Anolis sagrei: one gene and its partner. The protein of the gene in region 2 interacts with the protein of the main gene of each other region in a pairwise test. Links are inferred from orthologs where the notes say so. Each region holds a gene or a part of one and is shown on either strand. Other genes may lie near its edges. The genes, in order: LRATD2 and UROD.

Region 1 (15,390 bases), about 160 Mb from region 2:
GATTCTATGATTCTATGAATGGTGTTGGAGGTCTTTTGCTAGCCTATAAAATGCTGGAGAGTTTGTGTGTGATGGGGGAACAAAAGGAAATTTGATTCCAGAAATTGATGGTGTTGTGGTCTGAACACTAGATCAAGGTTGGAACCCTTGTTTGGACATAAAACTGATGGTGACACTGGATGATTTATATACTCCCATGTCCAGAAAACCTCATTATACGTTGACCTTAGGGTCTCCATGGGTTAGAAATGACAACCAGAAAGACACACTTGCTGCCCCCATTTAATTTCAAAGCAGAAGTATATGCTAATTAAAATGTCTCTTGTGCCACATTTTGCCGTGACAAGGTGGACAATGTTGTGGCATGGAATCTTTCATTGATCTCACAGTTCTGCTAATCATTAATGACATGTCTTGTTTGGACAGCTGTTCAGTACTAATGTGAGCATCCAGATGGCAGCTCCTTTAACCACCAAGACAAAATGTGACTCATATAATGCATAGCTGAAAAGTGTCATTCCAACACCTAGCATTCATCATCAATAGCTATGCTGTATACACCTGCTGGGAACTGCAGTCCAGTATTTGCACAAGGATATGTTGTCTGAAAATGGTAGGAATCTCAGATTGGAAAGGCTGCATCAGACAAAACAACTATCATCAGGTCCTATAAAATCTACAAACATATATAAGAGGAACTCTATCTCAGTAGTGGAGCGTATGCTTTGCATGTAGTCAATCCCAGGTAGGCCCCTTCTACACTGCCATATAAAGACCAGATTATCTGCTTTGAACTGGATTATATGGCAGTGTAAAGTAAAGGTAAAGGTTTTCCCCTGACATTAAGTCTAATCATGTCCGACTCTAAGACAAAGAGCTATGTTGTCCATAGACACCTCCAAGGTCATGTGGCCAACATGACTGCATGGAGCGATGTTACCTTCCCTCCCAGAGAGGAAAGTATTGATCTACTCATCATTGCATGTTTTTGAACTGCTAGGATTGCAGAAGCTGGGGCTAACAATGGGAACTCACCTAGCTCCCTGGATTCAAACCTCCAGCCTTTTGGTCAGCAAGTTCAGTAGCTCAGTGGTTTAATCTGCTGCGTCACCAGGGGCTCCTGTGATATGGCAGTGTGGACTCATACAATCCAGTTCAAAGCAGATAATGTGGATTATCTGATTTGATAATCTGAATTATATTGATGTTGAAAGGCCCAAGAAAGCATGGTTTGATAGCCAGCATGGCATAGTGGTTTGATGAATCTGGAGACTAGGGATCACATGTCTGCTCAGTCATTGAAACTTATTGAGTGACCTTGGGCAAGCCACACACTCAAAAAAATGAAAGGTTCACCTTAGGGTTGCCAGAAGTTGGAAACAACCAGATGGCACACAACAACCACAACAATCTCCAAGTAGAGCTGGAAAAGACTTCCAGAGCCAGATGTGGAAATCACAGAGATTTTCAGATATAGTTTGACCGCAAGTATCAGAATGCCTAGCTAGCACAGAAACAGCTACAATTCCCATCAAGACTGGGCAAAATAGCCAGGATTATAGGAGCTGTTACTGGAATAGTGCTTTGCTCAGTAGCGAGAACACACTTTACAAGCTGAAGGCCCCACATTCAAACCTGCCATCTTCTTTTTAAAAAAATATGTGAGGAATCGGGTAGCAAGTGGTGTGAAAGTCCTTTTTCTATCAAGACCCTGGGAAACTGCTACTAAGCCAAGTAGGCACTATCAGGCTTACTGGATATATAACCTAATTAAACAGCTTCTTTCTTTTTCCTAAATAAGTTTTTAAAATCCCATTCTGCCCACTGTTTTTTAAAGGTACTTTGTGCTTAAAGATTCCCCCAAGTCCTTTGCTTGCTAATTTTGGCCCCTTCCACACAGCTGAATAAAATCCCATATGATCTGCTTTGAATTGGAATATATGGCAGTGTGGACTCAGATAACACAGTTCAAAGCAGATATTGTGGGATTTCCTGCCTTAGTATGGGTTACATGGCTCTGTGGAAAGGGCCCTAAGAAGGGGAAAGAACACTTCAATGATGGTTAGCACTGTATGAGACACTGAACTACAACACCTCCTGAGCTTTGCGAGTGCAGCATTTTCCCGAATGAAGCAGAGTGTGTTTGAGGACTGAGACATCTGTAGGGTGCTTGTTTATAAAGCTATTGTCCTCCCAACTCTGCTATATGCCTGTGAAACGTGGACTATCTACAGACATCACATGCAACTCTTGGAACGATTCCATTAGTATTGCCTCCAGAAAATCCTGCAAATCTCTTGGGAAGACAGGTGGACAAATGTCAGGATGCTGGAAGCGCTGGCCCTTGAGCACTCTAGTTGGAGATCAGCTGTGACCAGCAGTGCTGTAGAATTTGAAGAAGCACGAATGGAGGGCGAAAGAGAGAAATGTGCCAAGAGGAAGGTGCATCAAGCCAACCCCGACCAGGATCGCCTTCCACCTAGAAGCCGATGCCCTCACTGCAAGAGAACATGTGGGTCAAGAATAGGGCTCTACTGTCACCTACGTACCCACTGCCAGGACACCGCACTTGGAGGACAATCTTACTTGGTCAAGGAGGGATCACCTACGTATGTAAGTGTAGGAGACAGAATCAGCCATCTCATTTGATTCTTGCAATGAGCTCAAATGCTCCAGATAGCAACGATGCACAAAAGCATAAGGAGAGGGGGCTGATGGGGAAGAAGGAATCTTATAAAATAAATGGGAAGGGAAGCTTTGTAACAAAACAGAAAATAGGAGCAGGCACATCTGGGTTCATTTTAATGAGTAATTATTTCTGAGATACTCCAGGTATATGGAGGAGGGGGTTATCTCCTCCATCCCATGATATGGGACAGCATCAAGTCCCTTTCGATACGTTTCTCATAGCAATGAAGTGTGCGAATCCTGGGCAATCATTGTCTACGTAGGAAGCCTTTGTGGATCTTTGAGCTGGTTTTTGATCTCTCTTCCTGCCTGCTGACATCGCCAGAATCGTGTGTCTTCGGCCTCTTCCAGCGATGCTGTGTAAGGAATCAGGATTGCCAAATTATGCTCTCTGGGAGGGTGTCTAGGCCATTAACACTAAATTCCCCAAACTTCTGAGAAATGATGCATACTCTCCCCTTCCCACTGTAGTATAATGGCATACATTTCACAGGTGAAAATGGAGACATGGGCAGCCAAGAAACATCCAAGTGTTGTCAAAATGGCAAAAAGTTAATAATGAGTCAGGGCACATCATCCGAATGAGCCTGCAGCAGTTTGCTTTTGCCACTGGGAAGAGCAAAAGCAATTTCTACTCGCTCCCCTTATGGAGTTAAGCACAGAGTACTTCTGATTTTTTAACTCACTTTGCAGCTATTGAAGCTGGACCAAAAGGGAAAGAGATAGAGAGAGAAAAACTGGGACATTTTTAAAGCAGCCGAAAAAGTGGGGCAGCAATGGATTACTCAGAACTGTCCATGTCAAGTTGGGATTGTTTCCCGCTATATGAACATGCAACAGAACTTCATTCAATGACACTTTCCCTTCATGGCTTGACTTATCCTCTCCAACATGTCAAAAATGGAAACTGGGACATAGGAGCACAGCTTCATTGGTGTTGGAATTCAAAAGAAACCTCTTGTTTAACTGGCAAACTCTCCCCATAGTTTTTACAAGGTGTGTTTATTTCTTTTGCTTCCCAGGAAAAAGTAAATTAGATTTGCACAGCCCAAGATGTCCTGTTCCAAGACTAGGGGAGGGTGCAGCCAATTGCTTTTATCTGTGCTTGTTGGGAAGGACGAAATTCCACTTCTCTCCTCACATTGAGTACAAGCTTTTGTTATTTGAGCTATTTTGCAATAGTTGATGTAAGTTGATGATGAAATGGAAATGTAGGAGGCAGAGAGGAAAACTGGGGCATTCTGAAAGCAACTGTGAAATTAGGCCAGTGATATAATAATTTTGGATGTCCCTGCCAAAGTGCAACAGTTGGAAGATATATTGACTAATGGGATGGGTGGAGGCTGCATGCATTCACTTTGGCCCGCAGTATGTCTCAAATCTCCCTAGATGTCCTTGATATCCTTTCCAAATGTCCTGGATAAAAGCTTCACCCCAACATTGTAACATGAATTCCTGGAAACTCAACAAGCCCAATTTGCCTGTAACTCAATGTTGTAGGCCTTTGATGTACTTCTGGGAAGGCAGGGTAATTACAGACAGGATTCCTTTTACAGGCAGTCCCCAAGTTACAAACAAAATAGGTCCTGTAGGTTTATTCTAAAGTTTAATTTGTTTGTAAGTTGGAACAGGTAATTTTTCAGTGTAACTACAGATATAGATATACATGATTTGGATAGCATGGGAAGCATTGCTTTCTGTGCCCCTCTTCAGAAGATTTCACCCCACCTACTGTCACTGTGAGAATTGGATTTTGAACAACAACAACAAAAACAACAACAAAAACAACAACAATTTTATTTTTATACACCGCCTCCGTCTCCCCGAAGGGACTCACGGCAGCTTACATGGGGCCAAGCCCAAATAACAGAGTTAAAACATAGCACATTAGACTGCATAACAACAATCTTAAACAGCATAAAACAACATTAAACAAAATATAAAACAAGCAACTAAACCAACATCAACAACATAATTCAATCCTCGATATGGGTGGACAGCCTGGTGTACAACAGTTCGGAGGATTGGGCATGTAGCAGCATTAAGTATAAGAGCAATACAAAAGAGGTCAACTCTAATTTTGGATAAAATGGTAGTAAAGTGCATAGTAAAATTTTTGGGTCCTAACAAGGGACAATTGTCAAGGGAAATGTTTAATCAAATGCACAGCAGAACATCCATATCTTTAGATCTTTTTGAAAAGTGGATGGGGGGGGGGGGGAAGTCTCATCTCCCTGGGAAGGGAATTCCAGAGCTGGGGGGGGGGGGGGGCAACAACTAAAAAGGCCTTCTCCCACCAACCGGGCCTGTGATGGAGGCGGAAGTGAGAGAAGGGCCTTCCCAGAAGGCCTTGGGGGCTGTGTGGGTTCATAAGGGAAGGTGTGGTCTTGAAGATAGGCAGGTCCCAAACCATCCAGAGCTTTAATAGGTGATGACCTGCACCTTGAATTGGGACTGGAAACTTATTGGCAGCCAGTATAGCTTGTTGAACAGGGGGGGGGGGGGGTTTACCACTCCCTGTAACTTGCTCCAGTTAACAACCTGGCTGCCGACCTTTGCACCAAAGGCAGCTTCTGGGCCATCTTTGGGGCAGCCCCATGTAGTGTGCGTTACAGTAATCTAATCTTGAGGTAACTAAGGATTGGACCACCATGGTCAAGTCAGACTTCTCGAGGTACGGTCCCAGCCACCGCTGATACCTGAGCATCAAGTGTCAACGATGGATTCTAAAGGACTACCAGACTATGGACCTGTGTCTTCAGGGGGAGTGTGACCCCGTCGAGCACAGGCTGCCACCCCATGCCCCAATCCTTCGAGCAACTGACCTGGAGGACCTTTGTCTTGTCAGGATCTAGCTTCAGCTTATTGGCCTTCATCCAGCCCATCACAGCGACCAGACACTGGTCCAGGATCCGAGGGTCTTCCTTGGAGTTAGGTGGAAAGTAGTAGTAGAGTTGATTTTTTCCTACCAACATTCTTCAGTTTCTGTCTTTCACAACTAATGGGAAATATGAGAGCATGGGCCAACCTAACTTGGGTTTTCAATGACATACCTCTACACTTCAGGTTCTTGTTTAGTTCCTTCACAGCTGCCCTTCCAAATCCTAGTCTTCTTCTTGACTGAAACTTGTTCTCGGATAAATGCACACACATTTGCAATCTGAATATTTGAAACATATACTACAGGACCACATTATAAGGCAGGGGAGTCAGATTTAAAGGGCTTGTACCATTAATGATTGTGTAGAAGAAGGAATTTCAGAAGGTTTTGCTTGTCACACAACCAAGCAACAAATAACAAGTAATCCCCTCTTCTACACAACCATTAAAGGTGCAGAAGTCCTTTCCAGTTTTCACTCTAGCAAGCCTATTTGAAGATGAGATTTATTTCTCTTTTCCCCGCTCTGAAGCAGGAGAAGATGAGTGTTGGGGTTTATTACTAAGCCTTTATTGCATACAGGAATCAAACATAAATACACCAGGCCAGCATTCAAGATGTGTAATTCTGTAATGGAAGAAGCTGTACTTGAAGAGGTTTGTTTCATTTTCTTTCCTTTATAGAAGAGGGTGATGATAGCTTTTCAGCCAGCCAAGCTACCTGTGGTTTTGTAGAGGTTTCAAGTTGCAAAAGGCAGAGAGATAAACTGCCTTAGACTCAGGCTGAATAAAACACATATTGGAAGAAAGCTGCAGAGGTTCAAGCTGAACTCTGACCATCATATGCAAAGCCAAAGAATAAATATTACCACCACCACCACCCAAAACAGCCCACAACGTTTAGTTAACAACATGAAAGCAGGAAGGGAGAGGTGGAGAGAGAGAAATAACTTATTGGTTACCCTCATTGTTGTTCAGGGAAGGACTCACATGGTCCATCAAATGTTGTTGAACTACAACAAGTATTATCCAGCAGAGACACTTGGTAAGAATGCTGGGAGCTTTAGTTTAAGACTATCTGAAGGGCCACATGGTTCCAACCCTGATTTAGGTCACATGACTGGTAAGGACAAAACCGGATGGTTGTCAGATTGTGGATGGTTACTTTGGAGAAGTGTTTTTCAAACTGTGCTCCTCTAGGTGCTTTGGATTCAGCTCCCAGAAATCCCAGTCAGCTTATCAGCTGTTAGGAATTGTGGGAGATGAAGTCCAAACATCTGGAGGAGCACAGTTTGGAGAATCTGTTGGTGCTTCAGAAAGTTCCAAAAGGTTGGAATCAAGTTGCTTTTATTATTGTGTTTTCTTCAAAACGTTTTGGACTAGAGCAACCCTCTTGAAGGATTTTCTTGGCAACATGTGTTCATTTTCTCAGCCTCTGAGGTGCTTTCCACACAGCTGAATAAAATCCCACATTTTCTGCTTTGAACTGGAATATATGGCAGTGTGGACTCAGGGTCCTTCCACACAGCCCTATATCCCAGAATATAAAGGCAGAAAATCCCACAATATCTGCTTTGAACTGGACTGAGTCCACACGCCGATAATGTGGGGATTTTCTGCCTTGATATTCTGGGATATAGGGCTGTGTGGAAGGCCCCTCCGATAACCCACTTCAAAGCACATACTATGGGATTTTCTGCCTTGATATTCCAGGTGATATGGCTGTTTGGAAGGGCCCTGAGGCTGAGAAGGTCTAGGCGACCTTTAAAGCTAATCCCACCTCTAACTCCCCTCCCTTCTACAAGCATTTTTAAAACATGGAAACAACTCCATGGAATACTGAGCTATGGGCAAAGTGGATCTGTTGAGTTTTCTCAGATGTAATGTTGGAGTGAAGCATTTTTCCAATATAAGGCTGTCAAGGGGCGCATATACACTGTCAAAACAATGTTCTTTGATGTGGCTTTAACTGTCATGCCTCAATGCTATGGATTCATGGGAATTCCAGATTTACAGGGTATATAGTAGGCCTGGGTAACAACGGAAAAATTTGTTTCTAAAATCGATTCGTTTTTTGGGGGTTTTTGCGTTTCGTTATTTAAAATAATTACAAAATTTTCCTTTTAAAAAGTTCGATATTTACAAAATTTCGTAAATGTGAAAAAAATTACAAAACATTAACGAATCGATTTCCGAAACAATAACAAATAGATTCATTAATGGCGGACGCGACCGCAAAATACGCTAAAAACCTCCAAAAACTTCTGAAGCTTCCCTCTCCCTCTGTTGTTGACTGTTGGTGTGATATTATAATTTTTTTTCACTAATTAAACAAAAAACTTGCCCCAGACATGTGGAAATAATAACAAAACGACCTCAGAATAATAACAAAACGAATACAATAACGAAATACGAAGCATTTACAAAACGTGTTTAAAAATTCATTTTTTAAAAAAATTGCTCCAGAATGGTTCGTTATCATTTTGTAATTTAAAAAATTAACGAATTATTAACGAATTACGAATTAACGAAACGAAACCACCCAGCCCTAGTATATAGCCATTTGTGCCTCACCAAAGTACAACTCCCAGGTTTCCGTAGTATATATTTAGCCATGGCAGTAAAAGTAGTATCAAATGCCTTTAATTCAACACCAGACATCTTCCGTAAGTACTTATCAGCAACGCATGTATTTCAAAATATTGGAGGGAAAACTCAAAAATCAAAACACTTCTGGTGCCAAATGTTGTATTTTCTGATGGTCTTTGGTGACCCCTGCAGGGGTCCCGACCCCCAGGTTGAGAACCACTGTTCCAGAATATCTGTGTTCTGTTCTGTGTTGCGCAAACAGTGCTCCCGAAGGAACGAAGCTCTTTATTGCTGCCCACCACCTTTGCCTGAAGCCAGGCATGTCCCTGCCCCCCCCCCCCCCGAAATTCTCATGGTGGTCTGCGAAAAGGCCTTACTTGTACATTATTTAAACTGTTATGTTTATTCCTATCATGATCTGATCGCCATGCTCAATATATCCCATATGCATGGGGGTATTGGGGTGACTTTGTATTTCTAGGTGCAAAGATTACTGCAGATGCAGACTGTGGCCAGGAAATCAGAAGACGCTTCCTTCTTGGGAGGAGAGCAATGTCCAATCTTGATAAAATAGTGAAGAGTAGAGACATCACACTGGCAACGAAGATCCGCCTAGTCAAAGCCATGGTATTCCCTGTAGTCACCTACGGATGTGAGAGCTGGACCTTAGGGAAGGCTGAGCGAAGGAAGATCGATGCTTTTGAGCTGTGGTGTTGGAGGAAAGTCCTGAGAGTGCCTTGGACTGCGAGAAGATCCAACCAGTCCATCCTCCAGGAAATAAAGCCCGGCTGCTCATTGGAGGGAAGGAGACTAGAGACGAAGTTGAAGTACTTTGGCCACATCATGAGGAGACAGGAAAGCCTAGAGAAGACAATTATGCTGGGGAAAGTGGAAGGTAAAAGGAAGAGGGGCCGACCAAGGGCAAGATGGATGGATGGCATCCTTGAAGTGACTGGACTGACCTTGAAGGAGCTGGGGGTGGTGACGGCCGACAGGGAGCTCTGGCGTGGACTGGTCCATGAGGTCACGAAGAGTCGGAGACGACTGAACGAATGAACAACAACAACATTGGGATTGGGGTAACATACAAAGGTTTGCTAGGGTGGACCCTCTTTTACTCAGACTCACCCCCCCCCCCCCGAATCAAAATCCTGGCTACGGGCCTGCCTGAAGCCCATCCCGGTAGGAGAAAGTTGCCTCCTTCCTTTCTTCCTTCCTTCCCTCCCCGTCCGTCAGCGTGGAAGGCACCTCTCTTCCGCGTGGCACAGGGAGGAAAGGAAAGGCAAACTCGCAAGCAGGGGCGGGGGGCGAAGGTTTGCACGCCTCCTTTCCCTCCCCCTGAAGCCCAGGCTCCCTCCAGTGGTGCACCCTCAATTACAAGCAGAACAAGAGGAGGAGGAGGAAGAGGAAGAGGAGGGGAAGGAGGTGGGAAAAAAAGCAGCGCGTGGCAAAGCCGGAGCAAGTGCGCCTTGAAAACACGCGCGTCCCGGAGAGAGAAGGAGGTGTAAGGAAGGGGGGAGAGAGAGAGAGCGCGTGCACGTGCCTCCCGCGGGCCAAAGGAGTGCGAGGAGGAGGAGGAGGAAGTGGGAAGGAGGAAGAGTGTGCCTGCCTGCTTGCCTGAGCGCCGCCTGGCTTGCAACGCCTGGCTGGTGGAGCTGCGCTTTGGAGTGGCGCCTGGGCTTCTTTTCTTTCTCTCTCCCTCGGATACACCCGGGCTGAGGAGCGAAGGGAGGCGTGAAGGGCCGGGGAAAGGGTGGCGGGCACCTGCCGGCCCACCTGGAGCGCCTCCTCAGGTGGAAGAGCCGCCACGCGAGACGCCGCTTGGGAAGTTTCCAGCGCCCACGACGCCTCCGTTGCCCGGGACGCTGCGAGCGCAAAGGGAGGAGGAGGAGGAGGAGGAGGAGAAAGAGGAGGAAGGGATGGCGGGGCGGATCAGGTGACAGCGGCGTCGGCAGCAGGGCAGGAGCAGCACCTGGGCTCAGGCTGGTGGTGTGTTCCGAGGCGGAGGCGGCCGGCCAGGTGAGTCGGGCTCCCAGGCAAGGCAAGGAGGGAGGGAGGGCAGGCGCTTCCTGGCTGGCAAGGGCTCTTCCCTCGCCCCCTTCCTCTCTTCTGGGCTCTTTTCTCAATCCTCAAGGACCTTGGAAGAGGCAGGAAGGGAATCATCCCCCTCCCTCCCAAGGCAGCTGTCAATACAAAGTTTCCCCGAAGAGAAACTCCGCCAATCAATCCCTCGGAGATGCTGGTTCGAAGGCTAATAGGGATTTCCTCAGTTCCGGGCCTTCAGTTGCCATCTCCAAGCCATTGTCTTCCAGTCCTCGTCCTCACTGGGTTCTCACTCCAGTGGCAAACCTGACTCCAAAGTTTTCCCTTGCTATTTTGCCACTGCTGTTGGGCAAGCGGTTCTTCTAGGAAGTCAGGTTTGCTGTGAGTTTTCTGGGCTGTATGGCCATGTTCCAGAAGCATTCTCTCCTGGCGTTTCGCCTGCATCTATGGAAGGCATCCTCAGAGGTTGTGAGGTCTTCTAGGAAGACCGTGTTGATTATTTTGGGGGACAGTTTTCAAACCCAGAACTATCTGTTCTGAAGGGTCTACAAGCCTTCAAACTACAAGAAAAGAGATTCCATCTGAACATGAGGAAGAACTTCCTGACTGTGAGAGCCGTTCAGCAGCGGAACTCTCTGCCCTGGAGTGTGGTGGAGGCTCCTTCTTTGGAAGCTTTTAAACAGAGGCTAGATGGCCATCTGGCAGGGGTGATTTGAATGCAATATTCCTGCTTCTTGGCAGGGGGGTTGGACTGGATGGCCCATGAGGTCTCTTCCAATTCTTTGATTCTATGATTCTATGGTTCTTTGTATCCCTTGGGGTTTGGATCCAAGACCCCAAAATCCATGGGTGTTGAAGTCCCACGATACAGAATAGCATCGCAAAACAGCACCCCTTTTCTAAAACGGCAAAATCAAGGTTTGCTTCTGGACTTTTTGTGTGTGTGAATGTTTCCAAGCCATGGATGGTGAAATCTCTGGATATAGAAGGCCAACATTTTGAGGGGATAATCTCTATATAAAGATGAGTGATGGTATCTATTGATCTACTCCTTTTTGCATGTTTTTGAACTGCTAGGTTGGCAGAAGCTAGGGCTAACAATTGGAGCTCACCCCATTTCCTGGATCCAAACCACCGATCTTTTGGTCAGCAAGTTCACCAGCTCAGTGGTTTAACCCACTGTGCCACCACAGTGTATATATATGTGGAATGTCCAGCGTGGGAAAAAGAACTCTTGTCTGTTTGAGGCAGGTGTGAATGTTACAACTGGCCACTTTGATTAGCATTGAATAGCCTTTCGGCTTCAAGGTCTGGCTGCCCCCAGGTCTGGATTTAAAGTCCATACTCCCCCAGTCAGTAAGCAGCCAGACCTTGAAACTGCTAGGCCATTCAATGGTAACAAATGTGACCAATTGCAACATTCACATCTCCCTCAAACCAACAAGAGTTCTTTCTCCCACTCTGGACATTCCACAGATATATAAACCCCAACTGCCTAGTTTCCAACAGACCTCACAATCTCTGAGGATGTCTGTCATAGATGCAGGAAAAATGTCAGGAGAGAATGCTTATGGAACATGGCCATACAGCCCAGAAAACTCACAGCAATCCAATGATTCTGGCCATGAAACCCTTTGACAACAAAGAATCTCCGGTTTGGCTTTTTAAGGTTCAAAACACTTCATTCCTTGTGCTTTTAATGCAACAGATGAGCCTCTCTGGAAGAAATTCGAGAGCTGTGTCTTTAAAGTAATGTTTCTCCCTTCCTTCTACGCTCTCAATGTAGGTGTCAGTGTAGGCAAAACTACCAAAGCCATGGAGTTAAGATCTTACAGGTTTCTTATCTGTCTCTTTTCTGTGATTTCCAGAGTCGTTTGCAAACAGAAGCTCCAGCCATTCCCCTCACTGCTCCCTTCCTCCGTTTGTGCCTTTTCCTCCGTTTTATGGAGAGCATAACAAGGCTTTCCAAGGTGCTGCTTGAAACACTTTCCCTGTGATTCTCAGCGTCTCCATGCTGAATTTATTTGCACTTTATCTCTGCATAGGTTTGTATAATCTGCACTCTACCCTGAACGAGTGTTTGTAGGATCCTGAAGCCACACCTCCAACTTCTTCCTCTTGTTTGAGCAACAATTATAGGAGAGGAGTCACAAGGGACGGCCCTGGAGGGTTGTTGGAAGGGTCGGTGAGACAATGACGCTTCTGAGGAGCAGAATGTTAATTCCAGTGTTTGTTGTTGTGATAGTTCCTCATAGTCTCTTGACACCCTGCCTAGGGGAAAAGGGACCGGAACAAACACATGATATCATCTAGTAGGACTCTTGTGGGGCTTTTATGGGTGTCTAGCCCCAACTGTGGAAAATTCCATGTGATCAGAATCATTCAGAAAGGAATGTTTACTTCCTTTACTTCAGTGTTTCTCATCCTGGGGGTGAGGACCCCTGGGGGGATTGCAAAGGGGTGTCAAAGGGGTCACTAAAGAGCATCAGAAAACACAGTATTTTCTGTTGGTCATGGGGGTTCTGTGTGGAAAGTTTGGCCCAATTCTATCGTTGGTGGGGTTCAGAAGGCTCTTTGATTGGAGGTGAACTATAAATCCCAGCAATTACAATTCCCAAATGTCAAAGTCTATTTTCCCCAAACTCCACCAGTATTCACATTTGGGCATACTGGGTATTGGTTCCATGTTTTGTCCAGATCTATCATTGTTTGAGTCCACAGTGCTCTCTGGATGTCAGTGAAATACAACTCCAAAATTCAAGATCAAATCCCATCAAACACTTCCAGTATTTTCTGTTGGCCATGGAAGTTCTGTGTGCCAAGTTTGGTTCAATTCCATAATTGGTGGAGTTCTGAATGCTCTTTGATTGGAGATGAACTATAAATCCCAGCAACTACAACTCCCAAATGACAAAGTCTATTTTCCCCAAACTCCACCAGTGTTCACATTTGGGCATGCTGGGTATTTGTGCCAAGTTTGGTCCTGATCCATCATTGTTTGAGTCCACACTGCTCTCTAGATGTCGGTGAACTACAACTCCAAAATTCAAGATCAAATCCCACCAAACTCTTCCAATATTTTCTGTTGGTCATGGAAGTTCTGTATGCCATACTTGGTTCAGTTCCATTGTTGGTGGAGTTCAGAATGCTCTTTGATTATAGGTTGACTATAAATCCCAGCAACTACAACTCCCAAATGACAAAATCTATCCCCTCCAACCCCATCAGTATTCAAATTTGGGAGTATCGGATATCTGTACCAAATTTGGTCCAGTGAATGAGAATACATCCTAAATATCAGATATTTACATTACGATTCACAACAGTAGGAAAGTTACAGTTATGAAGTAGCAACAAAAAAGCTTAGTTGGCTGACGGGGAAAAGGAAGGGGCCTGAAGCTGTAAGGAATTGTGGGAGTTGAAGTCCAAAATACCTGGAGGACTGAAGTTTGCCCATGTCTGCTTGAGAGATTGTTCAGTCACTGGGAAAAAGAAGCAGTGACAGGACCTTATCAGCAAAGCAAGTTTTGCTGCAAATTTCCTATGATAGAATAAACAATAATAGATGGAATAGCTCCCAATTTAGTCAGTCTTCTCACTTGGGATGATGGAGCCATCCTGGTTAGCATGTTTCCTCCAGAATTCAGAGCATGCTTTGCCAAAGGAAGATGCTTGATGTTCAAGGGGACTTGGCCCTATGGAGATTTGTATTCGTGCTTTATATCATGTTTACCTGGTGTTGACTGTGTTGTCTTTCTTCATCAGGAGACTTGGGAGTCTCCATAGATATCCAGTCTATGCGCCACTGGATATCTAAGCACTTGAAGAGCATAGTGCAGTTGTTGAGCACAAAGCCTGAAGCTATAAATAACTGGCTCTGTTTAGAGTAGGGGTGGGAGTTAATGTGGGCTCCAGGGCAGTTTTTGGTGGGCCTTTTCTGGCCAGAAAAAATGTTGTCCACTTTTCACCGAGCAGTCTTCCCAAGTGGAAATTCACCACTGAGATAGACTGTAGTATACTTCCTACAACCTGTTGAACATTCAGAAAACCTTTTTTTTCCTTCAAAACCAGGAATGGAGTTCTCCCTATTTCTGTATTTACGTTTGGTTTTGCATTTTAGGGGACTGTGTCACTTTGGAGGATTTCGGGAAGAAAAATGTTTCCAAGTTGCCCACTCTGGCTTAAAACTATGACATTCTCTTTTGGGAACCAGTTGCAGAGTAAACTTACCTTTTGAATAATGTATCAAACAGTGTTTCCATAAGTTGGGTTGCTGTGAGGTTTCCGGGCTGTATAGCTGTTTCAGAAGCATTTTCTCCTGACGTTTCACTCACATCTATGGCAGGCATCCTCAGAGGTTGTGAGGTCTGTTGGAAACTAGGCAAGTGAGGTTCCTATACCACCTCACTTATATAAACCTCACTTGCATTAAAAACACAAGGAATGAAGTGTTTTGAACCTTAAAAACCAAAACCAGAGATTCCGTGTTGTCGAAGACTTTTGTGGCCAGAATCACTGGGTTGTTGTGAGTTTTCTGGGATGTATGGCCATGTTCCAGAAGCATTCTCTTCTGACATCTATGGCAGGCATCCTCAGAGGTTGTGAGGTCTGTTGGAAACTAGGCAAGTGGGGGTTTATATATCTGTGGAATGTCCAGGGTGGGAGAAAGAACTCTTGTCGGATTGAGGGAGGTGTGAATTTTGCAGTTGTCCACCTTCATTAGTGTTGAATAGCCTTTCAGCTTCAAGGATTGGCTGCTTACTGCCTGGGGGAATCCGAACTTTGAATCCAGATCTGGGGACAGCCAACCTTGATGCTGAAAGTCTATTCAATGCTAATCAAGCTGGCCAAATGCACCATTCACACCTGCCTCCAACAGACAAGAGTTTTTTCTCCCATCCAGGACATTACACAGATATATGAAGTTTAAACCCCGCTTGCCTAGTTTCCAACAGACCTCACAACCTCTAAGGATGCCTGCCATAGATGTGGGTGAAATGTCAGGAGAGAATGCTTCTGGAAGATGGCCATAGACCCCAGAAAACTCACAGCAACCCAGTGATTCCAGCCATGAAAGTCTTTGACAATACATCTCCATAAGTTGACAGACAACCTGAAGACAGTGGGTTGTTGTAGGTTTTTTTGGGCTATATGAAATGTTCTAGAGCAGTGGTTCTCAACCTGGGATCCCCA
Region 2 (16,096 bases):
CAGGTCTTCATCGGAGGGGAAAAATAAACCAGTGAAATAAGGAGTGACCTGCTCCTGTCTCTCATATGGAACAAAGATCACAGGACTGGACAAACTTTTACTCCATAATTTAAAGGATGGAATTTGAGATCATTCAATAACAATGAGGAGAAAGACACACAAGCCAGGATGATGTAATGGGCTGAATGTTGAACTAGGTTTCTGGGAGACCAGGGTTCTCCACTCTGTGTTGATTGGGCTTGGCTCCATGTAAGCCACCCCAAGATGGATACCGGGTACAAAAATAAATTGTTATTATTATTATCATCATCATCATCACTACTATTATAAGGAGTATTTAATTGCCTCAGGACACCCAAGTGCCTTCCACTGTTATTTGAAAGGAAAGGGAAAGGAAAACTCTCACAACTCACTTAATAATGGTCCCTTTCTTCATGTTGAGACGAACCCAGTGCTGTCCCTGGGACCCATCACTCTCCCAGTAGGTGTCAGCTTGGTTGTCCGTCAGGCAAGAAACATTGAATTCTTCCTGGAGAAAGAAGAGCAGCATATTAGGATGGAAGAAGGACTGGATCATTACAATTCTGGACCAGAGTTTCTCAAACTGTGTTCCCCAAGATGTTTTGGACTTCAGCTCCCACAATTCCTAACAACTGGTAAGCTAGCTGGGATATCTGGAAGCTGAAGTCCAAAACCCCTGGAGTAGCACAGTTTGAGAAACACTGCTCTAGACCACTGCTTCTTAAACTGTGAGTCTCGACCCTAAATGAGACCCCCTCAGCTCAATGTTGGGGTCTCAAAAAATTGCAACAATAAAAGTAAAAGTCACCTAGTGGCTGCTTTAGATATTTTCAGGAATTTATTGTGCAGAGTTTACAACGGACCCTACAAAAGATGCTTCAGCTGTACATCATACTGTAAAGGTAAAGGTTTCCCCTGACATTGTCTAGTCGTGTCCGACTCTGGGGAATGGTGCTCAGCTCCATTTCTAAGACAAAGAGCCAGCATTGTCCATAGACACCTCCAAAGTCATGTGGCCAGCATGACTGCATAGAGTGCTGTTACCTTCCTGCAAAGTGGTACCTACTGATCTACTCACATTTGCATGTTTTCGAACTGCTAGATTGGCAGAAGCTGGTCTTAACAGCAGGAGCTCACCGCGCTCCCCAGATTTAAACTGCCAAATTTTGGTCAGCAAGTTAAGCAGCTCAGCGGTTTAACCTGCTGTGCCACCAGGGGGCCCAAGCAATTGCGTAGTCGGCAAAGAAAAATAGTGTTTAGCAAGCCTTGCAAATTTTGGTTTGTTATCATTAAATGTTTGATTTTATATACCTATATACCTGAGGTCACTAACATTTCTTGGACCGAAAGGGGTTGCAAGTGGAAAAGTTTAAGAAGTCTTGCTCTAAGCACACAGTTTCTCCTTATACCAGCATCCCACTATCCCCAACAAACTACCACCAAGAGAACATAACTCTTGAAATAGGAAAAGCTTCACTGCCCATGTTCTAATCATAGGCATGCCTCTGTTAATAAAGCCTATGGCAAAGAAGTTGTTTTTATAGTCATTTTATACTCATTCAACCTGATTTTTCTTGCTCACACTTGGTCTAGTTGGGAGCATTTATTAGCAGCACTGGTACTGGAGGATGGTGAAGAAACCCAGACTATCACTGCTGGATTGCAACAGTATGTCTGCAGTAAACAATACAATAAAGCTTCAGCTGGGAAATAATGGGATTCCATTGTAATCGATCTAACCACAGCCGTTTCCGCTTGTCTACAACAGGTACCGACACACAAGGGCATACCCCACATTAACACCTTACTGTGTAGGAGGAGACATCAATACTGTCCACATATTGCTTGACGCTGCCCAGATTCTCATCCTCCTTTCCAATGTGGTCATGAAGGAAATGCACCAGGTCTTCATCACACTCATAGCTCCACGTCGGGGGTACAAACCTTAACAGGCCAAATGATTAGGATTAATGGTACAGAATGAGAAGCAAGGAGTTAGTTAACATACATGTAATATATTGTATATACATATAATATTTATAATATTATAATGTAATACAATATAATAATATGATGTTATAATTATATTTTTATATTACATGTAATATTACTAATAATATTACAATATAATTGTATAGTACAATATAGTAATATATAATACTGATATTGTACTATGCTGATAATAAAATATATTGTATGTATATATATATATATCTTGTAAGCCATTCTGAGTCCCCTTCGGGGTGAGAAAGGCGGCATATAAATGTCATAAATAAATAATAAATAAACAAACTGTCGTTTACTTACCCTTTAATCCACAGCACTGTGTTCTACTTAACAAGAGCAAATATACCCTCCAAATAATATTTTCAACCCTTCTTTTAGCACCACTGCCAATGAAATTCAGCCCTCGGTCAACCAAATTCTGACCACACTTTTGGAAAATATGAAAAATTATGCTCAGTGCTGCAGGTAAACTCTCCCAATTGAAGAGCTATCCCAAACAACCTTATTCTGGAGTCCCAAATTACCGGAGTCTCTCTACAGCAGCTGCATCCGGCTCCATGATTTTGGGCTTTGTCCCAAGACGAAGGGAATATGTTACATCCACCACTTGCTCCCATCTGGAACAAAAGAAGGGCAACTTTAACAAAAAGCTTTAACTCCTGTTTAGATAAACAGAAATAGGGAAAAAGCTATAATGGCAAAAGCTGCAGCTGAGATAAGGACATAGCATATGAGATAAATTGTGTAACAATTTAAGATCAATGAGAATCATAATATTTATCATCCTTGTCATAATTATTTTTGCTGTCCTTCCAACAAATAAACAAACAGATTGAAAATATACTAAGAAAATCCTCTGAAAATGCGAGCCACAGATGCAGGTGAAATGTCAGGAGAAAATGCTGCTAGAACATGGCCATACAGATCCGAAACCACATAACACTCCAATGAATTGCACTATTGACAACATATGAATGGCTGCTATGTTATGTATATACATGCAAGTGCATTCACCTGAACAGCAGACCTATCGGCATTTGTAAACCTGTCCATATACATCTGTGAAAAACAGATCAATCAATTTTGGAAGTCAAGACTGAATAGAAGCAAGTGTTTAAAAGGTGATAGCATTACACCAGAGTAATGATGATACTTCCTAACTTCACTCTGAACTGGTTTCATGTTTTCACCGTACAGGTATTGCCTAATTTCCTACATTGCACAACAATGTCGCCATGCTGTTTGCATGATCCTGAACTAGCTAATCCAGACGGTGACATAACATACACCAAGGAAACAATGACGTACACCAAGGAAACAAGAAACAATGAATGAATAGAAAACAAAAAGGGCATGACCAAGGGGTGTGATTACTTGTGTACTTTAGAAAACACTTCCATTTGAAACCTCTGAAAGATCTCAATTTTCTTTGAGAACACATAGTGCAAACTTTATCACTGATTCCAAAAGGGATCAAATCAAGAAAAGGGAAATGAGTGAAGGCAGAATGCTCCTTATTGATGTACTACTAGCAAAATAATTGGAAGCCTAATATTTTGTAACAAGAGCATATTGCTTAACATTTATACATGTCAGAGATTCATGGCCCACGTACAATGTTTACTTTCACCTTCACACCCAATGGTCCTCCTAAAACCCACCCAAAGGCTTGACATCTTATACCTGATCACAGGTTTATAGTCTATCCCAAAAAGCTGCTGCTGCCGCTGAATTCTCTCTGTGGATTCAACTGGCACCAGTCTATCTCCACCATCGGCATGTTTGCACATGAGGATCCAGCCTTCGTCCAAGTCACAGCCAGTTTTATATTCCTCAAGCTGCTCCTACAAAGAGAGAATACAAGTCAGGTAGTTGGTACGAAGCCTGAGCTTTGTAAAACAAGCATCAGCAGAAACACAACGAAATATTTCTGGGCATAACTACGGTGTAAGATATGGACTGGCACCATATTTGTGACTACAAATGTTTATTTCTTTCATGGAAACTCGCTGTAGACCAGCACTGGTTTATGAACAGCTCCTTTGAGTAGAATTGATTTACACAGATCGAATGAAAAGTAATGCCTCCACCTTCGTAACTCCTCAACAGATGGCAGTACTGGTATGCAGCAGGTACTGGCTTGTTCAGTAGACTCTCCTCTACAGTTCCATTTTGGCAGGAAGCCTTAGCATTGAACAGTTGTGTTGTTAAAGTGCGAAGTATGGAACCCTGCGTGACTTAAGCAACATGCAATCATTGACTTCTTGACAGCAGAAGGTGTCACCCCAAAGGAGATTCATCAGAGACTGAAAGCTGTTTATGGTGATTGTGTTGATGTGAGTACTGTGCGTCGTTGGGTGAGTAAGTTTAAAGATGTTGAGGTGGGAACATCTGACTTGCATGACAAAGAGTTGGACATCTTGTGACAGCAACCACCGAGTTTCACAAGCAAAAGGTTGACAGATTAATTCAGGACAATTGTTGTATCACTCAGAGACATATTTCAAACATTATCAGCATTTCACAAGACCCTGTGGGTCACATTATTGCTTTGCTTGGTTATTGGAAGATATGGGTACCCAGGATGAGAGAACTGTGAGACACAACTTCAATTGCCGATTCACAAGCATTTCCTCAACAAAGTAGGAGTGCACTTTGCACATGCTCAGACTACATTCATTCTACAGCAGATGTGGGCATAATTCGGCCCTTCAGGTAATTTGGACTTCAACTCCCAGAAATCCCTTTAATGTAAGCCGCACCGAGTCCCTTGGGGAGATGGTAGCGGGGTACAAATAAAATTATTATTATTATTATTATTATTATTATTATTATTATTACCCTTTCCTGGCTATTAGGAATTGTGGGAGTTGAAGTCCAAAAATCCTGGCGGGCTGAAGTTTGACATAGAGGCATAGAGGCACTCAAGGTCATAAAAAAAAAAAAAAAACCAAAGTGCAAAGTGCATTTCAACTTCCTTCAGGAAACACTTGTGAATCTGCAGTCAAGGTACATTTTCAACTAGTATCAAGCAACATTTGTTCTATAGCAGGCATGGGCAAACTCCCAGCCAGGAGGCTGTTAGAAATTGTAGGAGCTGAAGTCCAAAACACCTGGAGGGCCAAAGTTTGCCTATAGCTAACATAGAGGCATTCAAGGTCGTACAAAACACCAAAGTGTCTCCAAGCATGTGCAAAGTCCATTTGAACTTCCTCCAGCAAATGTTTGTGATTCAGCAGTCAGGATACATTTTCAATTAATAACAAGCAGAATTCGCTGTATAGCATAGATGCACCCAATGATGTAACAAAAATCAGGGTGTCTCTGAGCATGTGCAAAGTGTATCCCTACTTTGTTCAGGAAATACTTTTGAAACAACAATTGAAGTGGTGTCAGGCTGCATTCATTTTACAGCAGGGATGCACTCAAGGTGGGACCCAATTGCCTCTGAGCTTGTGCAAAGTGCATTCCTATTTCGTTCAGGGAATGCTTTTGATCAGCAATCGAAGGGGTGTCAGGATGCAATCATTCTACAACAGGGATGCACTTAAGGTGGGACACTAATTTATTTATTTATTTATTTATTTGGAGTGCTTCTACCCCCCCCCCCCAACCCCCTAGGGGGGACTCAGGGCAGCTTACAAAAGGCACAATTTGATGCCCAACAATTCACAAAATACAATATACAATTTACAATTTAACATCAACAGTTATTACTAGTTAAAACAATCAAATCAATACAATAACAGCAATAAAATCATTTTGTGGTAAATGTTCACCGATTTATAAATCCATAATCCATCCAGCATTGTCATTGTCCTTTCCTACTCTGGTCGTCATTGTCTTTTCTCCATCTGCCAGCTTACCTGAAGGCCTGGTCCCAAATCCAGGTTTTTAACTTCCTCCTGAAGGAGAGGAGGGATGTTGATGACCTAATTTCCCCGGGGAGTGCATTCCACAGGTGAGGGGCCACCACTGAGAAGGCCCTGCCCCTCGTCCCCACCAGTCTCACTTGTGATAAAGGTGAGGCCGAGAGCAGGGCCTCCCCAGAAGATCTTAAACTCCGAGGTGGGACGTAGAAGGAGATACATTTGGACAGGTACGCTGGCCTGGAGCCGTAAAGGGTTTTGTAGGTCAAAACCAGCACTTTGAATTGTGTTTGGAACTGGATCGGCAGCCAGTGGAGCTGACACAACGGGGGGTGGTGTGCTCCCTGTATGACGCTCCGGTGAGTAATCTAGCCGCCGCCCGTTGAACTAATTGAAGTTTCCGAACAAATGCCTCTGAGCATGTGCAAAGTGCATCCTGACTTCAATAAGGAAATGCTTGTGAATTAGCAATCGAAGTAGTGTCAGGCCACATTCATTCTACAGCACAGATGCACTCAAGGTGGGACACAAATGCCTCTGAGCACATGCAAAGTGCATCCCTATTTTGTTCAGGGAATGCTTGTGAAACAGCAATCAAAGTGATATAACGCTACATTCATTCGACAACAGGGATGCCTCTGAGCATGTGTAAAGTGCATTCCTATTTCGTTCACGAAATGCTTCCCTATTTCGTTCAGGAAATGCTTGTGAATCAGCAATCAAAGTAGTGTCCGGCTGCATTCATTCTATAGCACAGATGTCCTTAAGGTGGGACACAATTGCCTCTGAGCATGAGCAAAGTGCATTCCTACTTCGTTCAGGGAATGCTTGTGACTCAGCAGTCACGGTCCGTTTCAAGGGGCATCCGTTCTCCAACATAGATGCACCCAAGACCCTGAGCATGTGCAGAGTGCATTCTAACTTCCTTTCCCGGGGGACACTCCCTCCCTCCCTCCCTCCCCGACTCACCCTGGTGAGCTTCACCCACAGGCCCTGCCCGTTGCAGTGCTCCTCGCCGCTGGCCCGGAGGCAGGAGCCCTTGCGGAGCTCTATAGCGCCCCGTCCGAGGGCGCCTCCCTTCCCGGCCTTGCCTCCGCCTCCTCCGCCGCCGGGGCTCTCCCAGACGGAGAGCAGGCTCCGGCTCAGCGCCCCGGACAGGCCCGGCCCGCTGGCGTCCTTGCAGAGCTTGTACTGCACCTCCCGGGGCACGAAGCACAGCGCGGGCGGGAGCGGCTCCGCCCGGCGAAAGCACTCCACCGCCTCGCTCAGGAAGCGCAGCCGGCCCAGCAGCTGGTGCGGAGACTCGCCCCCCGGGGGAAGCAGCATCGCAGCAGCAGCAGCAGCAGCAGCCTCCAAGGGGACCCCTCCGGGCACTTCCGCCAGGGCAGCAGGCGGGTGGCTGGCTGGGCTTCCTGGTCGAAGCGCCCGCCCGCCCGCCGGCTTGGCAGCCTACCGTAAAGCACCCGGTATCCGCGCGGGAGGCAAGACACAGAAGTGCCCAAAGCTGATCACAACACTGGCCTTCTCCTCCCTAGTTATCTTGCACACTCCCTGCTTGCACATACCAGGGGCGTTCCTAAAGGATTCCCCCGACCCACTTCTATTTATCACAGGATGCTGAAACTGTGCATGTGTCATGATATAAGTCTCTATAGGTTATGTGCCAATTTTCAACTCTGAACTGATAACGGTCTTGATTTGACAGGTGCTGAAGTGGTGTGAGGTTTGATAATGGACCCAGTGGAATACAGAGCAGTCATCCAGTTCCTTTAGAATCATAGAATCCTAGAGTTGGAAGAGACCTCTTGGGCCATCCAGTCCAACCCCCTGCCAAGAAGCAGGAAAATCACATTCAAAGCACCCCCAACAGATGGCCATCCAGCCTCTGCTTAAAAGCCTTCAAAGAAGGAGCCTCAACCACCCTCTGGGGTGGAGAGTTCCACTGCTGAACGGCTCTCACAGTCAGGAAGTTCTTCCTCATGTTCAGGTGGAATCTCCTCTCTTGTAGTTTGAAGCCATTGTTCCGCGTCCTAGTCTCCAGGGAAGCAGAAAACAAGCTTGCTCCCTCCTCCCTGTGGCTTCCTCTCACATATTTATACATGGCTATCATATCTCCTCTCAGCCTTCTCTTCTTTAGGCTAAACATGCCCAGGTCTTTAAGCCACTCCTCATAGATCTTGTTCTCCAGACCCTTGATCATTTTAGTCGCTCTCCTCTGGACACATTCTAGCTTGTCAATATCTCTCTTCAATTGTAGTGCTCAGAATCGGACACAATATTCCAGGTGTGGTCTGAGGCAGAATAGAGGGGTAGCTTGACTTCCCTGGATCTAGACACTATCCTCCTATTGATGCAGGCCAAAATCCCATTGGCTTCCTGCCGCCGCATCACATTGTTGGCTCATGTTTAACTTGTTGTCTACGAGGACTCCAAGATCTTTTTCACATGTACTGCCCTCGAGCCAGGCGTCCCCCATTCCATATCTTTGCATTTCATTTTTTTTTCTGCCTAAGTGGAGTATCTTCCATTTGTCCCTGTTGAACTTCATTTTGTTAGTATTGACCCATCTCTCTAATCTGTTAAGATTGTTTTGAATCCTGCTCCTGTCCTCTAGAGTATTGGCTATCTCTCCCAATTTGGTGTCATCTACAAACTTGATGATCATGCCTTCTAACCCTTTACTTGAAAGGCCGCACACATAGAATCATAGAATCATTGAGTTGGAAGAGACCTCATGGGCCATCCAATCCAACCCCCTGCCAAGAAGCAGGAAAATTGCATTCAAAGGAGACGTTTGATGAGATGAAAGAGGTTAATGGTGATGATTCCCCATCATATGATGGAGTCAAGAACTGGAATCATCAATTCAAATGTGGTCAGACTTTGGTGCAAACAGCTCCAATTCCAGGGTGAGCGCACTCTGGTATTGATGAACACACCATGCAGCAAGTGGAGGTCACCATTTTGGAAAATTACTACATAACCATTTGCCACCTGGCCCAAAATGTCAAGATTAGCGTAGGGTCCATGGAAAAGATCATCCAAGACCATCTTCACATGCATAAGGTATCCGTTCACTGGATCCCTGGCTGCTCACACTTTTCCAGATGCAGAAACCAGTCGAATGCTCTCAGGCTCTATTGACAATGTGCCATGGAAACCAGGAGGACTTTTTCAACAGACTGATCACACAGAATGAAAGCTGGGTCCATCACTATGATGTGGAGACTAAAGTCCAGTTAATGAAATGGACAGGACTGAAGACTGATAGGTTGCAGGTTTGTATACAGGGAGAGCGTGGATGAGCTTCCTCTGTCAGCTCCGGCTCCCCTTGCGGGGACATGAGAGAAGCCTCCCACAAGGATGGCAAAACATCAAAAAACATCGTCCTTGCAGATGGTCAATTCTCTCACACCATATTTTTTTGTGTGTCAGGAGCGACTTGCAGTTTCTCAAGTTGCTCCTGACATGAAAAAAAAAATCCTACTGGCTGTTAGGGATTGTGGGAGTTGAAGTCCAAAACACCCGGAGGGCCCAAGTGTGCCCAGGCCTGCATAGAATCAATGCAATTGAACTGACATGACCCAATGCTATTGCTGTAATTTGGCGAGACACTTAAGACTTTATACAACTGCAACTCCCAGGATTTCATAGCTTTGATCCATGATACAGTACCATTAATTCAACAGGATATATAGCCTTTGTGGCAGGCACCCTCAAACCGTGGCTCTCCAGCTGTTTGGGCCTCCAACTTCCAGAATCCCTAGCCTGCTTGTCCAGTGCTCAGGAATTCTGGGAGTTGGAGGCCCAAACAGATAGAAGGCCGCAGTTTGAGGGTGCCTGCTTTATGGCTTTCCTTCAAATCCCAGCGGGATAGCCCTTGGGACCTTTCCTTTGGCCAGACCCCTTCTCTCTCTCTCTTTCTCGAAAGGTTCTCTACAACGTGCACTACGGTAATGCTCTTCTGTTTTCTCTACCCAAAGTGGGGGAAGGGGGTGGGCCCTCCAAGGACCAATCAGAAGGGACCAGGAAGGAACCCGGAAAAGGGGCGTGGCTAGTGGAGTTTCCCTCCCTCCCTGTTGTGGGCGGAGCCACTGCCCTGGCAGGAGAGGGACAGACAGAATGGAGACGAACGGGCCGATTGCGTGAGTAGCAGGAAGTGGGAGAGAGCATGAGAGTGAGAGAGAGTGCAATGGGTGCATCTGCACGGTAGAAATGATGCACCTTGACTCCACTTAAGCTGTCATGAGAGCTGTAATTTGACCAGGTCTTGAGCAAATCCTGGTTTTTGCCATTTTATATAAGGGATATCATTTCGAACTACTAGGTTGGCAGAAGCTGGGGCTAATGGATATAATTAGATCAATTATATCATTTGGTATAATTGATCCACAGAGTTTGGATCATGGGACCAACTTCCAACAAGACACCAGTACTTTCAAATCAGTCATTTAAATAAAAAATATTTAAATAAGGGGAAACTATCAGAGTAGATGCAACATGATGTTAGCTAGTTTACAGTAAAGGTAAAGGTTTTCCCTCGACACTAAGTTTATTCGTGTCCAACTCTGGGGGATGGTGCTCATCATTTTCTAAAGCGAAGAGCCGACGTTGTCCATAGACACCTCCAAGGTCATGTGGCCAGCATGGCAGCATAGAGGGCCGTTACCTTCCTGCAGCAGCAGTACCTATTGATCTACACATTTTTGCATGTTTTCGAACTGCTACGTAGCAGAAGCGGTGGCTAACAGTGGGAGCTCACCCTGCTCCCCGGATTTGAACTGCCAACCTTTCAGTCAGCAAGTTCAGCAGCTCAGCAGTTTAACCCGCTATGCCACCAGGGGCCCAAGCAATTGCATAATCGGCAAGGCTGCATTAGCGCCATTGCCTTCCTACTGGAGCGGTACCTATTGATCTACTCATATTTGCATGTTTTTGAACTGCTAGGTTGGCAGAAGCTGGGGCTAAAACCGGGAGCTCACCCTGCTCCCCAGATTCAAACCACCAGCCTTTCGATTAGCAAGTTCAGCAGGTCAGCAGTTTAACCTGCTGTGCCACCAGGGAGCCCAAGCAATTGCATAGTCGGCAAGGCTGTATTAGCACCATTACCTTCCCACCGGAGCAGTATCTATTGATCTACTCACATTTGCATGTTTTCAAACTGCTAGGCTGGCAGAAGCTGGGGCTAACAGCGGGAGCTCACTGCTCCCCAGATTCAAACTCCTGACCTTTTGATCAGCAAGTTCAGCAGCTTGGTGATTTAACCCGCTGCCACACTGGAGGCTCTATATTTACAGTACCCGTTATTATTTAGGGAAATATTTAACAATTGTGTACTTTCTGTTTGTCAACATAGGGAAGTAGTCATATCAATCTCTTGCTTTGTCCACTTGAGCATTGTTACTGCATGTTATTAAAGGCAGAAGAGACATTGTATATAGGAGTGGAAGCATGCCGATAGGTGGCACAGGAGTTAGATAGACTTGCTGTCTATTTGAAGGGAATTGTTTAAAGACTTTGAAGGGTTCTGTCTAAATCGAGGACTGTTTGGACTGAAATCTCATGCCCACTTTCCTGGGAGTAAACGCAGCCCAGTGAAACTGTGACCATACAAAGGATACACAGGATAGTGGCCATACAGAGAATTAAACTGTTTTTAGCACTTTAAGCTCCTTGGTGTGTTTATCTTACCAATACATTTCTTCCACAATGATAGTCTTAGTAAGCAGGTCTGAGAGAGATAACAGATACTTGGTCTGGTGCTATGCAGTTTCTCGGGGGCTCCACCAAGGATGCATTTGCATTGTCTAATAAATGCAGTTTGACACCACTTCAACCGCCATGGCTCAGTGCTGAAGAACTATAGGACTTGTAGTTTTGCAAATTGCAACTCCCATAGTTCTGCAGCAAATTGGAAGACTACAAGTCCCATGGTACTCAAAGTAGAATTGAACTGCATTAATTTTGTCATTTAGATGCACCCGGTGACATAATGTAGTCCTCTAGTTGGAAGAGTAAATTTCCTCCTCCCTGAATTCTAACAATTTAAACGCAGGTTTTCATTGCCGGAATCAATGGGTTGCTGTGAGTCTTCCAAGCTTCTGGCCATGTTCCAGAAGCATTCTCTCCTGATGTTTCGCCCACATCTATGGCAGGCATCCTCTGAGGTTGTGGGGGTCTGTTGAAAACTAAGACCTTGGATATTCCACAGATATATAAACCTCACATACTTATTTTCCAACAGATCCCTCACCTTCTGAGGATGCCTGCCATAGATGTGGGCAGTGTTTCTGGAACATGGCCATACAGCCTGGAAGACTCACAGCAACCCATTTTAAATGCATTAGAGAAAGATAGGGCCCTCTGGTAGTGCAGCAGGTGAAACTGCTGAACTTGCTGACTGAAAGGTTGGCAGTTTGAATCTGGGGAGCAGGGTGAGCTCCTGTTGTTAGCCCCAGCTTCTGCCAACCTAGTAGTTCAAAAATATGCAAATGTGAGTAGATCAATAGGTACTGCTTCTATGGGAAGGTAACAGCTCTCCCTGCAGTCATGCTGGCCACATGACTTTGGAGGTGTCTACTGACAACGCCGGCTCTTCAGCTTAGAAATGGAGATGAGCACCACCCCCAGGTTCGGACATGACTAGAGAAACATAGTGCAAAGTGTAGTGCTACAGTACCATTTCATTGATGCACTATAGCAGGCCTAGGCAAACTTGGGCCTTCCAGATGTTTTGAACTTCACCTCCCACTATTCCTAACAATCTCAGGCCCTTTCCTTTCCCCCCTCAGCCACTTAAGTGGCTGAGGGGGGAAAGGAAAGGTCCTGAAGTTGTTAGGAATGGTGGGAGTTGAAGTTCAAAATACCCGGAGAGCCCAGGTTTGCCTACACCTGCACTATAGCATGGCGATTGTAAAGAAAGTGACAACAAGAAGAGAAAAGAATATCCTGGTATGTTCTGAAATTAAAAAGAAACCCATCCAAGAATGAAAAAAACCCAAGAACTACAGGAACCAATATTTATTAATAATTTACTTTAGATTGCAAATACTGCAACCTTCTGGCTCAAGCAACCCTTCCTCAAGGAACCCAACGAGCACTTTGTTGTCCTACGATCATGCAGGGAAACTGTTCTGTTGTTTACTGATAATTTTATATCAGTGACCATTCATGGGCTGGGCCTCTGTGGGTTTTCCTCGCCTGTTGTTTTCAAAGAAAAAAATGGAAAAGCTAATCCATTTTTACCTTTGGCAAAGCACAATGTATCATTCAGACAAGAATGGAACCCATATGTAAATATAGTAATTGTTGACAGGTTCTAATTATACTGAATAATATTATGGATTTATTTATTTTATCGTATCAGGAGCGCACCAAGGGTACAGTTGTAATGTGTTAAAAATACAAAGTTTTAAAACTTGGCATTAAATTAAATGTCTTTTGACCAGTAGCTGGCTGCTTAGAGTGCCTTTGGTGTCACTATAAGAAGGTCCTCCACTGTGCATGCGGTAGGGCTCAGACTGTATTGTAATATGTGGTTTGCTGTTCTGCACACTCACATGTCGTGGGCTCCACTTTGTGGTCCCATTTCTTAAAGTTGGCTCTGCATCTTGTGGTGCCAGAGCGCAGTCCCTTCAGCAACTTCCAAGTTAATCAGTCTTCTGTGTGCCCAGGAGGGAGTCTCTCATTTGGTATCAGCCATGGATACAGGTTCCATGTTTTAGCCTGCCACTTTTGAACTCTCGCGTGCTGAGGTGTTCCTGCGAGTATCTCTATGGATCTTAGAAAACTATTTCTTGATTTAAGGTGTTGGCATGCTGGTTGATATCCAAACAGGGGATGGGCCGGAGATGTCAATGCCTTGGTCCTTCCAGGGTAATTCCCAGGTATTTGGGTGTGCCGCAATGCTCCAGTGGGATTCCTTCCCAGGTAATCCTCAGAGCTCGAGATGCCTGTCTGTTCTTAAGATGGAAAGCACCTTCAGTTTTGAACTTCTTTGCATGTGACATTGGGTGCATCTACACTGTGTAATTAATGCAGGTTTACACCACTTTAACTGTCATGGTTCAGTGCTAAGGAATCCTGGGAGTTGTAGTTTGCTGAAGCACCAGCACTCCTTGGCAGAAAGGTGAAAGAAATTATAAAGCAACTTCCAAGATTCTATTTATTTATTTTTATTTATTTACCCTATTTATATCTCACCTTTCTCTACCCTGAAGGGGACTCAAGGCGGCTTACATGTGGCATTTATTCAATGTTTTGCAGCACATACAGATATTAAAAACTTAAAATCAGTTGAGTTAAAATTAATACAAATGAAGCATTTTAAAAAATTACATTGCGTATTAATATCACACCATTCAAAGATTGTTGTCCAAGGCCGATTCCATAATCATTGCACATAATCCAATTTATATTGCAGTACACTAGTCTCCGAAAGCCTGGTCCAAGATCAAGGTTTTTATTTTCCTTCTGAAGGGAGGAGGGAAGGAGCTGATCTGATGTTGCTAGAGAGGGAGTTCCACAGCTGAGGGGCCACCACTGAGAAGGCCCTGTCTCTCATTCCCAACAATTGCACTTGTGAAGAAGGCAGGACTGAGAGCAGGGCCTCCCCAGATGATCTTAATCTCCATAATATTGATCCACGTTAAAATGGTATCAAACTGCATTAATTCTACAGTGTGGATGCAACCCTAGTGCCCAGTGAATGGGTATCACATGCAGAATTCATGGTCTAGGAGTAAAAACAGAGATTAATCTGAAGATCATCATTTAAAAAGCAGGGATTAATTTTGAAAATCATAAAAAGTATTTGTGAATCAGCCAAAGGCCTTTCCTTCCCAACTTGAACTGCCATGGCTTAATGTTGCGGACTTTTGAGAGTTATAGTTTGATGACACTCCAGCACTCTTAGGCAGAGAAGGCTAAAAGCCAAGTAAAACTTCCATAGCATTGGGCCATGGCAATTCAAGTGAGGTCTAGCTGCATTGATTCTTCACATAGATGCACCCACAAAGAGAGATACAGGCAGTTCCCAAGTCATGAACAAGATCAATTTTGTAGACATGTTCTTAAGTTGAACTTTTATGTAAGTTGGAACAGATACATTTTAAGTGTACCTCCAACCCCTCCCTCTATACATACACACACACACAGAGAGAGAGCTTTGGATAGCATGGGGAAGGGTTAACACCCCTCCATTGTTTGTTTTTCTATCTGTGACAATTGGATTTTGAAAAATATAGCTTCTTGTGGAAACAAAGATGGGAGATACAGCTTCAGTGGAGACCCCTTTTCCCCAGGATAACTCTTTCAAAAGTGAATTTTCCTTCCTATGGGTGGATTTTTCTCACTTCTTGTTGTTTCACCCCTGTTCTTAACTATGAGTCTTAACTATGAGTCTTAACATGGTTCTTCCTCATCCGCTTTGTGCTAACTCTCTGCTTTTCTTAATTAGACCCACAGGATTCCCCGAACTTAAGAATGATTCTTTCCTCCGCGCAGCACAAGGGGAAGAGACAGAATACACCCCAGTTTGGTGCATGAGACAGGCAGGAAGGTACCTCCCAGGTAAGTGAAATTATTGGGTGGATGAAGCTTTAGGGAAGTGCAAAAAAACCTGTGGTCGTCTAGGTGGGGAACACAGCTCCCATCATCCCTCGCCATTCTGGCTCAATAGTCTCTAAAAAAATATTCCTTCTGATCTTAGGCAGTGTTCTTAGTGCCAGTTCTTAGGGTTGTTCATGCCATTATTTGTCCTAGTGAGGTGCATCAACCATAAAACCTGTGATGATATTTTTCAGAAAATTGTTTGTGAGGAAGGAGAAATATGTCCTCATGTCAGAACCTAAAAGTACATTGTTCACTCTTATTATTTGGCTTCAAAATTAGTATAGAAGAAATTTAAAATCTATATGGAAAGTATTAGAATATAAGAAGAGTCAACAAGTTGACTTTGATTTATAGTGACCCCTCTATCACCTTCAGCCATGCCCGGACCTTGCAGGGCTGTGACTTCTTGATTGAGTCCATCCATCTGGAATACAGTTTTCCTTGGTTCCTACAGCTTTCTATCTTACCAAGCATTATTATCTTTTCTCGTGAATCATGTTTTCTCATGATATGTCCTAAGCATGACAAACTCAAATTAGTTACATTGACTTCTTGGCTTCAGGCTTTATTTGATCTAAGGCCAATTT

The links.
Region 1: the proteins of UROD (region 2) and LRATD2 interact in binary tests that used the Homo sapiens proteins (3 or more experiments, as listed by UniProt). The two-hybrid records come from large-scale screens. The link is inferred for Anolis sagrei from reciprocal best matches to the Homo sapiens genes UROD and LRATD2.

What each region holds. Positions count from the first base shown.
Region 1 is NC_090024.1:18,577,794-18,593,183, forward strand, and holds the start of LRATD2 (protein LRATD2), read left to right. Parts: upstream 1-9,569; 5' UTR 9,570-10,173; intron 10,174-15,390.
Region 2 is NC_090024.1:179,876,484-179,892,579, forward strand, and holds the start of UROD (uroporphyrinogen decarboxylase), read left to right. Parts: upstream 1-9,935; 5' UTR 9,936-10,019; coding exon 10,020-10,042; intron 10,043-15,354; coding exon 15,355-15,467; intron 15,468-16,096. Other genes in the region: E3 ubiquitin-protein ligase HECTD3, read right to left, coding at 414-529, 1,830-1,965, 2,553-2,645, 3,712-3,872, 6,867-7,223. UniProt on the Homo sapiens protein: Catalyzes the sequential decarboxylation of the four acetate side chains of uroporphyrinogen to form coproporphyrinogen and participates in the fifth step in the heme biosynthetic pathway.